3 linked regions of the Caenorhabditis elegans genome follow. The protein of the gene in region 2 purifies or fractionates together with the protein of the main gene of each other region. This does not show direct contact. Each region holds a gene or a part of one and is shown on either strand. Other genes may lie near its edges. The genes, in order: F53F4.15, smg-1 and srbc-68.

What was found.
Region 1: the proteins of smg-1 (region 2) and F53F4.15 fractionate together in Caenorhabditis elegans (co-fractionation; one large-scale study listed by BioGRID). This does not show direct contact.
Region 3: the proteins of smg-1 (region 2) and srbc-68 fractionate together in Caenorhabditis elegans (co-fractionation; one large-scale study listed by BioGRID). This does not show direct contact.

Annotation. Positions count from the first base shown.
Region 1 is NC_003283.11:13,618,938-13,622,092, forward strand, and holds F53F4.15 (Neuropeptide-Like Protein), read left to right. Parts: upstream 1-2,038; 5' UTR 2,039-2,069; coding exon 2,070-2,217; intron 2,218-2,263; coding exon 2,264-2,469; 3' UTR 2,470-2,539; downstream 2,540-3,155. Other genes in the region: srd-11 (G-protein coupled receptors family 1 profile domain-containing protein), read right to left, coding at 35-188, 238-404, 639-749; F53F4.16 (uncharacterized protein), read right to left, coding at 2,645-2,704, 2,749-2,883.
Region 2 is NC_003279.8:6,910,395-6,915,324, reverse strand, and holds the start of smg-1 (Serine/threonine-protein kinase smg-1), read left to right. Parts: upstream 1-1,773; coding exon 1,774-1,818; intron 1,819-1,865; coding exon 1,866-1,952; intron 1,953-2,006; coding exon 2,007-2,152; intron 2,153-2,198; coding exon 2,199-2,475; intron 2,476-2,518; coding exon 2,519-2,785; intron 2,786-3,070; coding exon 3,071-3,295; intron 3,296-3,685; coding exon 3,686-3,798; intron 3,799-3,877; coding exon 3,878-3,987; intron 3,988-4,034; coding exon 4,035-4,165; intron 4,166-4,234; coding exon 4,235-4,365; intron 4,366-4,409; coding exon 4,410-4,565; intron 4,566-4,623; coding exon 4,624-4,767; intron 4,768-4,930. Other genes in the region: haps-1 (Essential protein Yae1 N-terminal domain-containing protein), read right to left, coding at 69-266.
Region 3 is NC_003283.11:3,545,129-3,548,299, reverse strand, and holds srbc-68 (G-protein coupled receptors family 1 profile domain-containing protein), read left to right. Parts: upstream 1-1,682; coding exon 1,683-1,857; intron 1,858-1,898; coding exon 1,899-2,356; intron 2,357-2,401; coding exon 2,402-2,623; downstream 2,624-3,171. Other genes in the region: srw-130 (G-protein coupled receptors family 1 profile domain-containing protein), read left to right, coding at 1-141, 789-1,003, 1,049-1,190, 1,251-1,331.

The sequences.
Region 1 (3,155 bases), on a different chromosome or scaffold from region 2:
TCAGCTTGAAATCTAAATTGTTTCACATTATTACCATTTGGATAATTGACGGAATTGATATAAACATAAGAATTACTATCAAAGCTTTTCTCGTTGGTGCCGGATGAAACAGGATATAATATCGATATGAGAACCCCATTAGCAATGACCATAGACCATGAGCTACTAATGAAATGTTTATGCTGTATCTGAAATTAAGAAAATGAAGCGTGTCGGGGAATATGTATTATGGTGTACATAAAATAGCAGACATGGGGTCCAAAATAAGTGCACAGTCCACGTGACAAATAAGCCATTGTAAATCCAGCCGGAATATGCCGCATTTGAATGAAAAGATCTGTGAAACAGGCGAGGAAATCGGTCAATGCAAAGTTTATGAGAATTGTGGTGTAAGCGGCGATTGTCTGGAAATGGAAACTGATGTTTGAAGGTTGAAATTGCTTGTCTATGTGATGAGGAATTTCTGCAGAACATTTCCAGCTATCCCACACCTAGTTATAATGGCAGAGTTCTGTAGAAAGCTGAGCCTATATTACGAGATTTGCACAGTTTTTACCAAACTGGGAACTAAAGCTCTCAAATTTTGATTTTAATCTATATTTTATGATTAGTTCAAAGATTTTTCACGAAAAACTAACCTTCGGAGTCCGAAAAAGTGCCAAAAAGAGCACAATTGAATTGAGAATGCAGCCAGAAACTCCGGCAAACGTATGGAAAGAAAGGAAGAATAATGTGATAGAGTCCAGCATTTTTCAAGTTTTTCTGAAAGTGAAAAAAAAAATGGTAAAAGCTCTCTCTTAAATATAAATTTTTCAATAGAAAGAAAATCTTTATTTTAAGGCTTCACTGGAACGATGACTGTGAAGATTATGGTTACAGAATGATTATATTGTTCTAAGGAATGCTAAGAATTTTGCAAAATAAATAATTTTTTGGGAACTAGATTTTCCGTAATCCGTAAAAAAGTAAACAATTATCATATCTATTCACTCGACTTTTCGAAAAAGGAAGGAAAACACATCATGTGCACGTAAGATATCTCTATTTATGCTTCCTCGTGATGGCTCTCAGAGCTGTTAATTGCTTCATTCAGTAGAAAGCGTCTGGCGTACCTGAGAATATATGTACTGTTTGAATTACTCATAGTCTGGGATATATCTGTGTCGTTTCGTATTATATCAATAGTCTAGAACATTAAGTTAACTTGATGTTCTAGACAATTGTCAAAAAAAATTTACAGATCATCAAAATAGCGACGCCTTAATCATATTAAATCTATTACATAGATGTCTGAAGATGATAATTTTTGCCATATCTTACGCGCTTGGGTCTCGCCACGCTGACTACTGACTACTGTAACTCGTGCTGATTTATGACTGATCATGTTTTTATTTAAAAATTTTAGAAGCAATGTTTCATTTGAAACGAAAATTATAATGCATTATTACAGTAACTCGTTGTCAGCGTGGCGAGACCGTGCGCATAAGTATTTAAGATGTGGCGAAAATTCTTATCTTTAGATGTCTAGAATGCGTATTGCGCAAAATATTTCGCGCTACAGTAGTAATTTAAATATTTTCTGTAGTTTTCGCTACGAGATATATTGCGCGTCAGATATGTTGCACAACACGCATTCTCAGAAAGTAGTGATCTCGTAATAATACATTTGGTTAAGGCGATGTCCACGAATTACAAAATTTTATGAGAAAAATATAGGCAAGTTTTAAGAATTCATTCTTGTTCTCTTTCAGAGGTAAATAACGATTGGCTTTTACGCTGAGAAATTGGAAGTGAAACGGTAGAAGTTAAATCCAACCTACAACCTAATGCATCGTTATTCAAAAATTATGTTGTTATTTGGAAAACCTGATAAATCTGAACTATTTATATTTTTAAAGTTAATTTTCAATTAACTTTATTACATACAAAAATGCATTGCGAATCCAGTTCGCCCATATTTTTCAATCTGTCGAGATCACTGAGATATCACCAAAAAATCGTGTTTTCTTGAAGTTTTTCACCTAATCGTCTTTTCCATATTTCTCTTTCCCATTGTATGATTATCAATAATGTTTTCTCTTCATCTCTCTATTCTTTGCTTCACTCTCCTGATTGGTTATTCTATTGAAATGCCACCTGGTCGAATGTGCCTTCCGGAAAGAGTCAATTTTCGTAAAGTCTGGCCATGTGAACATGATAAAACTGCTGCCGAGATTTGTAGGTTTCACGGAGAAGTTGTAGAATTTAATATTACTTTTTGAAGTAGAAGAACGGGAAGATCGTGAAGCAAATCTTCGTGGAGCTCCGTCTGCATTTGCTCGGACAGGATTCTATGATCGTCTATTTCTTCAACAAAATCTTCCAACTGTCTATGATGATAATATTCCATATTATCCTAATTATGGCTACAATCCCAACAAGCCAGTCTGGGGATTGTATCGTTATTCTAACTATTTCATCAATCCATAATTAAATAATTTTAATGAATGAATAAATTTAAAATGATAACAAACAACGACTAAAAACTAAAAGAAAAAAACGAAAAGGGCCTATGGGGGAAAACTCAAAACCAATGATAATGGCGGAAAAATACTCGTATTTGACAAAAATTCGGAGAATGATGAGGAATTGCACATCGATAGATCTAGTTTTTGACGATTGCCGGATGTAGAATCTCGTCACGAAGTGATTTTCCGCCAAGAACCTAAATATATTTCATTAACTGCAACTAATTAGATTTAATTTTACCTGTGCTCTGTCTGGAATATAACTTTTGTAGTTGATCGCCACATATGTAGGATATGTGAGTGCACATACAGTATAATAAGCTCGTAGCAAGGTCATTCGAGCAGGCCGTTCCAGGTGATACCAGGGTAAACTCATCTGGAATAAAAGTCATGAAGTCAAGAAAAATTAGTTCTTTTATGGGTAGAATGAAAGATTCAACTCAATTTTTCAAAATTTAGAAAATCACCGAAAATCACAAAAATTGGTAAAATTGATAATTTTTCAACAAAAAAGTGAATTTCTATGTAGTTTTATTCATGTTTCGTTGACGTTTTTTTAAGTTCGAAATTAATGAGATTTTTTAATTTCTTCTCGAAACTTTGAAAGCATAATTATGAATGGATAAAAACCAAAGAAATAAAAACGAA
Region 2 (4,930 bases):
TAAATTTTCTATTCGATTTAGAATTTTTTATATTAATCGATTTTCATGAAATTAAACAATTTCCTTACTTTGTACAACTGCGTGGTTCCCTCTGCAGCGCCTCTGAAATTTCTCCAAGAGGAGTCCGAATAGAGACGAGCCACAGCTTGAGCACATCCTTCAAAGTCATTCCACAGCTTATCGTTTTCCGTCAGATCCTCAGTACAATCACAACGACGGTGGGCACCGCCAGTTCTCGAAGAACAGCTCGAGTGATGATTCGACATATTATGCGAACTGAAAACATTAACATAATTTTTTATTAAAAGAAAGAACTGTCGGAAATCAAGTTCGAGAATATTAGAAAAAAAACGGGGAATTTTAAATGTTATAATTAATGTTTTCAACAAAGATTAGGCAATCGCGTGAGCAAGGTTTCATTCAACAAAACGAATATCGATTAGCTACACAATCTCATCAGTCTTTCAATTGCATGGGAGTTATGCTCCCCGAGCAAGTTCTAAGCGACTAATTTATCGATTTCTGGGTGAACATCAGCATCAGATGACGAAATAATTACAGAATAAAGATAGTTAGATGGAGAGAGTGAGAAAGATTGGAAAACGATTGGGTGCGTCCGGTCAAGAAATTGAGAGGAGAAGTTATCTTAAAGATGAAATGAAAAGATAGAAATGAAGGATTTATTGGTAAATTTGCAAGATTTGAGGTAAAAAATGAGTTATGGAAAATTTAAAACCAATTTTTCAAGGATGAGCAGTTGAAATATGAATGACTCATTACGAATACACTAGAGAAAAAGCTAATCGGGGAAATAAATGGCTGGGAAATTAATAATGTTTAAAAAACAGCTCTTGTAAAACTATTTTGTATTCAGAGTATGAAAGCAGGGCATAAAAGATAACTAAAAACATGAACGATTGGCGTCGAATCATTGCGAAAAACGTGGGTATACAGAGGCCGTTATTCGAGGTTTTCAGAATTATCAATTGAGATTCAATTGCATGTTTTCATAAAAACCGACAGGAATAAGCCATTTCTTCCGATTTTTTTTTCGAAATTTTGCGAAAATCGATGGGGAAACAATGAAAAAAGTGTCTGAAACGGGCAGAAAATGAGGAAAAGAGAGTAAAGAGAGAGAGCGGCCGAAACAAAACATTCGATTAGCAATGGAGCATGTTTGCTGACTCATGTGTCGACAGTTTAAATGCTTTTTGATCATCTGTTTATGAAGTTTTTCAACATTTTTATTGATTTTCAGAACTGGAGATTTTATTGCTATTTTTTAAGAACATAAAATCTAATTTTTTAGTGTGAGAAAGTTCTTTTAAAAGTATTAAAACAAAAGAAAAGCAACACGAGTACTGTATTAAAGGCGCATACCAAAAATCATGAGTCCGGTCTCACGAAGCGTTTGCACCACAATTAAAAGTGCCATTATCGATAGTTATCTTCTCAAATTAAAATTTGTTTCGTCTTTCCGGGTGCAAATCTATTTAAGCTTGAATTTTCATTAAATCACAATGTTTTATTTGCTTAAAACATTTTAACGTGACATTTTCATTTTCAAAGCTAAGTTTCCTTTTTTATTTATTTCTGACACGTGACGATGCTAGTCCGGCCGAGAAAAATGTTTAAAATCCTTAAACGGCCCGACACATTAAGGTATTTTGTTCTCGTTTATTCAATTTTCCCGATATTTGTATTCGTTTCTCAGGCTTTTTTCCTGTTTCAACTTTTATTTTCAGCCTATGCAACCTTCCGTGCGATCAAAAAATGATAACATCGAGAAACAATGATATTGGGAACCTGATAGAACAGGTAAATGTGATAAACGGAGAAAAGTATTTATTGTTAATCAAATTAAGTTTCGTCAACGTGACACGCCACAGAAGGAACGGAAAGCGATTCTCGCTAGAATCGAGGAGATTCTTCAAACTACGAAAAATGTAGAGGTTTGTTTTCCCTTCGGAAGCATTACGGAAAACCAAGAAATTATTATTTTACAGAGTCTTTGTGTAAAATGGACTTATCTTTTGGATAACTTGTGTTGGCCTAGTCTCACAAAACACGATCGGAATGACATGAAAACGCTGGCTGGAAAAGTGATACGACTTGTTGGAGTTTTACTCTTTGATACTGAATCCTATCCAGAGTTTGTGAATTTTGCCATTTGAAGATATAAAATAAAAATTTTTCAGGTTTCTGATTTATCTTGGAACATTATATCAAAGTGTTACGAAGAAAAGTGAAGAAACACGTGCGGATATCGTGTTTTCAGTGTATTTCATCGTTGGAGTCATCAGTCAAAAAACGGAGAATCGTCTAATTGCTACCGACACTGAAAATGTCGAAAAATCATTAGACTGGATAATCAAAGTGCTTCCGAATTCATCAATATCAGTTTATAACCACTGTTTGAAAGGATTTGTACTTGTTGCAAACACATTTCCAAATGTTTATGCTGCAATGTTTGAGGTATTTTATTTGAAAAATAATAAAAAAATTTCGCTTTTTCCAGTCAACCCTCCGAGCAATTCTGACCAACCTTCCCGATTTCAACAGTCATGAAAAGAATTTTGAGCTTCTCATTGATACAGTGATGCGATTTTCTGATCAACTTAATGAGAAGCCTCATTTGGCAGAAGAAATGGTTCGAATTATTCGACCGGATATCAAAAAGAATGGATTGGGAAATATGAGAGAATTGAAGAAACGAATGAAACTGACAATGGCACTCGTGAAAATGGCGAAAAGTCAAAAAATGCTTGAGGAGACTAATCAGATGGTGAGAATATGATGAGGGAACACATTATTTGCTGAAATATCTGAAAATTTCAAAAATAAATTATCTAAAAAAGCTTTAGAAAGGCAAATTCTCAAAAAGTTGAAATATTTATTTTGTTATTTGTGAATAATAAGTTCCAAGGACTTAATTTTGTTCTTTAAAGTGTGATATTGATTTTATTCAATTCATCTTTATTTTAAAATTCAAGTTCGTGGACCAAAAACAGATTTTCCCAACAAAAAGTTAACAAACTGCTTATTATTCTTTTTATTCAATAAATTTCAGATTTCTGAAATGTCTATCGAACTCGAGGAAAACGGAGGAAAATGGTCATCAGCTTCACTTATAACTATCGTTTGTGATGTTTTCAATGAGCTCTTGATATTGGGAAAAGATGATGTAAAATTGCAAAAAGGAGTTGAAGAATCATTGTGCAATGTTCTGAAAGACTTGAATCTTTCTAATCAGAGTACTATGGAGAAACAAGCATTTTTCAATTCTCTTGCAAAGGTTTGGTTTTTTGCCACAAAAATATCCGAAATTAGAGTATTACCCGAAATTTGGCGCTGAAACTAAAACTACGGTACTTGGTCTCGACACGACAACTTTTTGCTAAATGCGAAACGGTGTGCGCCTATTATTACTGTACTTTTAAACCCTTGTTGCTGCGGAATATTGCTATTTTTAAACGTTTTTTTCACGATTTATTAAAATTTATTTGAAAAACTATGATAAAACTTTGATGCACTGAACGAGAATTTGAAACTACTGTAACCTGTAAAGGTGTACATCATTCTGCATTTCCCAAAAATGTTTCGTGTCGAGCGTAGGTGCTGTATTGTTGGCGCAAAATGTTGCGTCTGGGTAATACAAGCTGCTGGTGTATGTAATTGATTTCAGATTGTCAAACAACTTCCAGCAGAGTCACAAGTCAAAACTAGAGTTCATCAGATTGTTTTCAACACGGAAACTGGACTTTTCACACCCAAAAACCGCGATAATCGAATGTTTGGGTGAGAAAAAGTTTTTAAGTCGATGCTCTATCGTATCGGGGAGTACGATGTTTTTCAAAATCAATTTTTATAATTTCAGACATAATATGATATACAAGGATCTTATCAATCTTGTCTCTGTGCTTCTTACGCCTACATCACTCAATCATCTACAAGCGACATATACGGATTTGAGGAAAATAATGATAGGTTAACTTTAATTAAATCTGTGAATTCAATTGATTAATTATTTCCAGATAGCATGTCACGATTGAAGCAAAGTGAAGATACTCCGTATAGTGATAATATTCGATGGAATGAATCAATCCTTTTGCTTTTCTTTTCGTCACTTCAAAGTATATCATGTGCCAAGAGTTCTCTTATTGTGGTTTGTTTAAAAATAACAATTATTTTCGCAGAAAACAACGATTTTTAACAATTAAAGAACAAATTTTAGATGATGGGAATCCGTCCGTCAATTTTTGAATTCTTCTCATCGGAACTTCCACTCACAGAATATTGGCTTGCTTCAAATCATCCAGAAGTCTATCACCTATTTATCACAATATTTGTTGGACATTTGAAAGCGTGAGTATGACAGAATAAATACTTTAATAAATCAATTCTTTCAGTCACGACTTCTACATTGTTCAATCTGATTATATTGTTCGTGGTGATAGCATTGGACAAAGTATAGGACAAACGAAACGAGATTATGCACGGAAACAAGTTGTTGCTCTACAGAAAATTATCAACAATTTTGGAGACAAATTGTGGAAGAAGACTAGGTTTATTCTTGAGCATTCATTATATTTTATTTTCAATTTTTAATAAATTGTGATTCAGACTGATGATATCTTCATGGCTTCACTCTCTCATTGCAACTGCTTGTGAACATCAAATCGGAAGTGATAGTTTCAGTCAACGAGAATGGGTTCGATTAAGGAATACTGTCATTCATCAGTCGGTGCTCACATGGAATAATGAATGGTATACACTTGAATTGCTTGAATTTCTAGCAGTTTTCACATTTTCTCAATCATTTGTACCAAGCAACACTTGCTGGAAAATCAAAAAAAAATCAATTTTTAAAATATCCCGCTACGCGCCCAACATTGAAATATATAATTCCTGGGACTTCTTTTTGGAATTT
Region 3 (3,171 bases), on a different chromosome or scaffold from region 2:
AAAATTGCTTCCCAGAAAAATTATTCACCATGCTCCAAAGACGATAAGCTAGAATATGCCATTCTTCTATCAAAGTTGTACTCCAAAAATGACGGGTTTCTGATAAAACTATATTCCACATCAAATGCAATGATTTCTCATGTAAGTTTTTTTAAAACTGTAATGGTACCGTGGGTATACTGTATGATTACTGTAGTTTCAGAAATATGAGCTTTCGTTTTTGTAAGAGATATTTGGGGATAGTGTCGGGGTACTGTAGTAGTACTTTAGGGGTACTGTAGGAGTACTATAAGATTACTGTAGTAATTGAGGTTTTGTCTTTTGAAGAGACAGTGCCGAGTTACTGTAATAGTGATGTAGGAGTACTGTAGGAATACTGTAATTCTAGAAATTTGAGTTATTGTTTTTTCAAAAGAATAGTGAGGGATAGTGGCGGGGTACTGTAATGGTACTGTGGAAGTAATGTCGTAATAGGACTACTGTAGCTCTATTTATTTGATTTTTTGTTTTATGAAAAGATAGTGTCGGGTACTGTAGGAGTCCGAAGTGGTACAGTAGGGGTACTGTAGGGACACTCTAGGAGTACTGTAGAATTATTTTAGTTCTAGAAAAATTTAGTTTCTGTTTTTACAAGAGATACTTGGAGATAGTATCGGGGTACTGTAGAAGCTGTAGGATTACTTTAATACTGGAAATTTGAGTTTTTTCATTTGAAGTGATAGTGGGGATAGTGTCAAAGTAGTGAGGGGTTACTGTAAGGGTTACTGTAGATCGCAACAAATTTTCAGATCATTCCTTCGATTCTCTTTCCTATAGTCACATTTTTTCTTGTAAACGTCCTACGAAAAGCTAAAAAATCTCGGAAACTGGTATCCAAGACCGATAGTAATACGAAGTCTACAAAAATCATAATCTATACAGCGATTATTTTTCTAATTGTTGAGCTTCCACTTGGAATCAATCTGGCGATCATTTGGTTTTTCAATAATTCCGTTGGAATCAAGTAAGTTTGACGGCAAAAAATTGGCTGAAACAGCTAGCTTTTCAGGCTGATTCTTGATCAATTTGAAGCTCTTTTTTATATGCTACTTACCGCAAACACAATTTCCCATTTCTTTGTTTGTTTCGTCTTGTCTTCACAATACAGGGCAACACTGATAGATGTAGTGTCGTGCGGGATAAGTTTCCAGGTAGGAATAATTTTGAGCGAATTTGAAAAAGGAGCCGGTATGAACTCAATAAATTTTCAGAAGAACAGAATTGGAAATCTTTGCAAAAGTCGAAAAAGTTCACAACAAAATGTTATAACAGTAAATGCAATATCAATATGATCCATCATCTTTATAAGTCACCAAAGTATTATTTTCCATAAAATGAAGCAGCGTCCGACAAATGGCGGGTTCTGGCTCCCAAGTAATAATAATTTTTCGTCCAGTAATCAAACAATTCCTTCTAACATTGAACTTTTTTATTATTTTAGTTAGAGTAAGAATAAAACCCTATACAACTACTTGTGGTTGTGAAATAACTGCACAACGGAAATTATCTCATATTCTAGTGAGGCTTGTCACAAATGCTATCGATACTATTGTAGAACTTGCTGATAGCTGAGAAACGTCTGAAACCCTACGAAAAGTAACTTCTGTTCACAAAAACATTTTACTATTAAAGAGCCCAGAATAATGTCAACTATTGTTTTTATATATTCCTTTATTACTGTCATAGTCTGTTACTCAAATATTTGCCTAAATTTGATCCTTTTATTAGCAATTTTCTGCTCTAAAAGAGTCACTTTCAAATCTGAATTGTCTCTTTTCTATACAAGATTTGCTGCAGATATTGGATACAGTATTTCTAGTAAGTTTTTGAAAATCTAATTCAATTCAATTTTGATTCAGTTAGTAATTTCAAATTGTACATTTTGGCGGTTATGATTTCGGAAATATTTGCCGTTAAAAATTTCATTTTCATCACACTATGGCTTACTATTATATTTGGAATCATTCGAACAAGTCTATTATTTTTAACTACTTTGGATCGAGTCATTTCTCTATTCTTCCCTTTCTTCTATTGCGCAAACCGTAGCAAACTTCCACTATTTGCCATTTTTATTCTAATTTTTTCCTTGATAATTTTCGATCAAATTATCATGTTCGGATATTGTGGGAATACTATTGATACTCCCATGAACTGCGACCATTTCCGTTGTTCTTTCAATGAGTGCTACAGTATTTATTGGGTAGAGCACGAAAAAATTGTATTCAGTATGATCGTCGTTTTGACAGTATTGCAATTAGGGAAACTTGTTGTTTACACTGTTCTTGCACAGAACCAATCGGCTCAAGTTTATTCAAGAGTAAGGTGCTGTACCTTTAAAATATAAGCAATTCATAAATTTAAGGCTACCCAAATAGCTATGCTTGACTCAACAACTCTTATTTTATTCAATCTTGTTCCGGTCATGTCTACTTTTTGGTTTGAATCAGCTGATTATGAAACGTATTCGTCGTTTGCAACTCTCTCTAGAAATCTTGGATTTTTAATCAACACATTGATCATTTTTCGAATATTCATGAGAGATAAAAATAATACAGTGACAGCATTAACATCACCCAATTCTTAAGAACTTAATTTTTTTAAAATAAATGAATAAAATTGCTTCAAACTATTGCTTTTGGTTTTTTAGTAAATGTGTAAAGAATTGTACGTTGAAGGTCGCATAAAAAACTACCTTCAAATTATTAATTAATCCTATTTTTATCGACTGACGTTCTTGTTGTTTTTTTTAATTTTTATATTAACACATTAACACAAAAGATAAATTATCCAATTTGATAAAAATGAAATCCCGGCAGCGTCGTTTGAGTAATGTTTTTGCCTAGCCTGTCTGCACTTCATTTTAAAAATGCAATTATTATTGGTTTTATAGTAACAATGAAACGCATTCATATTTAATGCACTTTCTGTTCTTGGCCTGTACAATTAAGCTATTAGACAACTGCGTGAAAGGTATCTGCTGAACGGAAATTAACTAATATATTATTTACACAAAAGTTGAGTATTATTATCTTTTTGTCCCTAACAATAACATTATGTTTCCTATTTTCACAGTCATAACCAGTTACGTAACAGTCTATGAAATCGTGAGAAAAGCTAGATAATTGAATATTT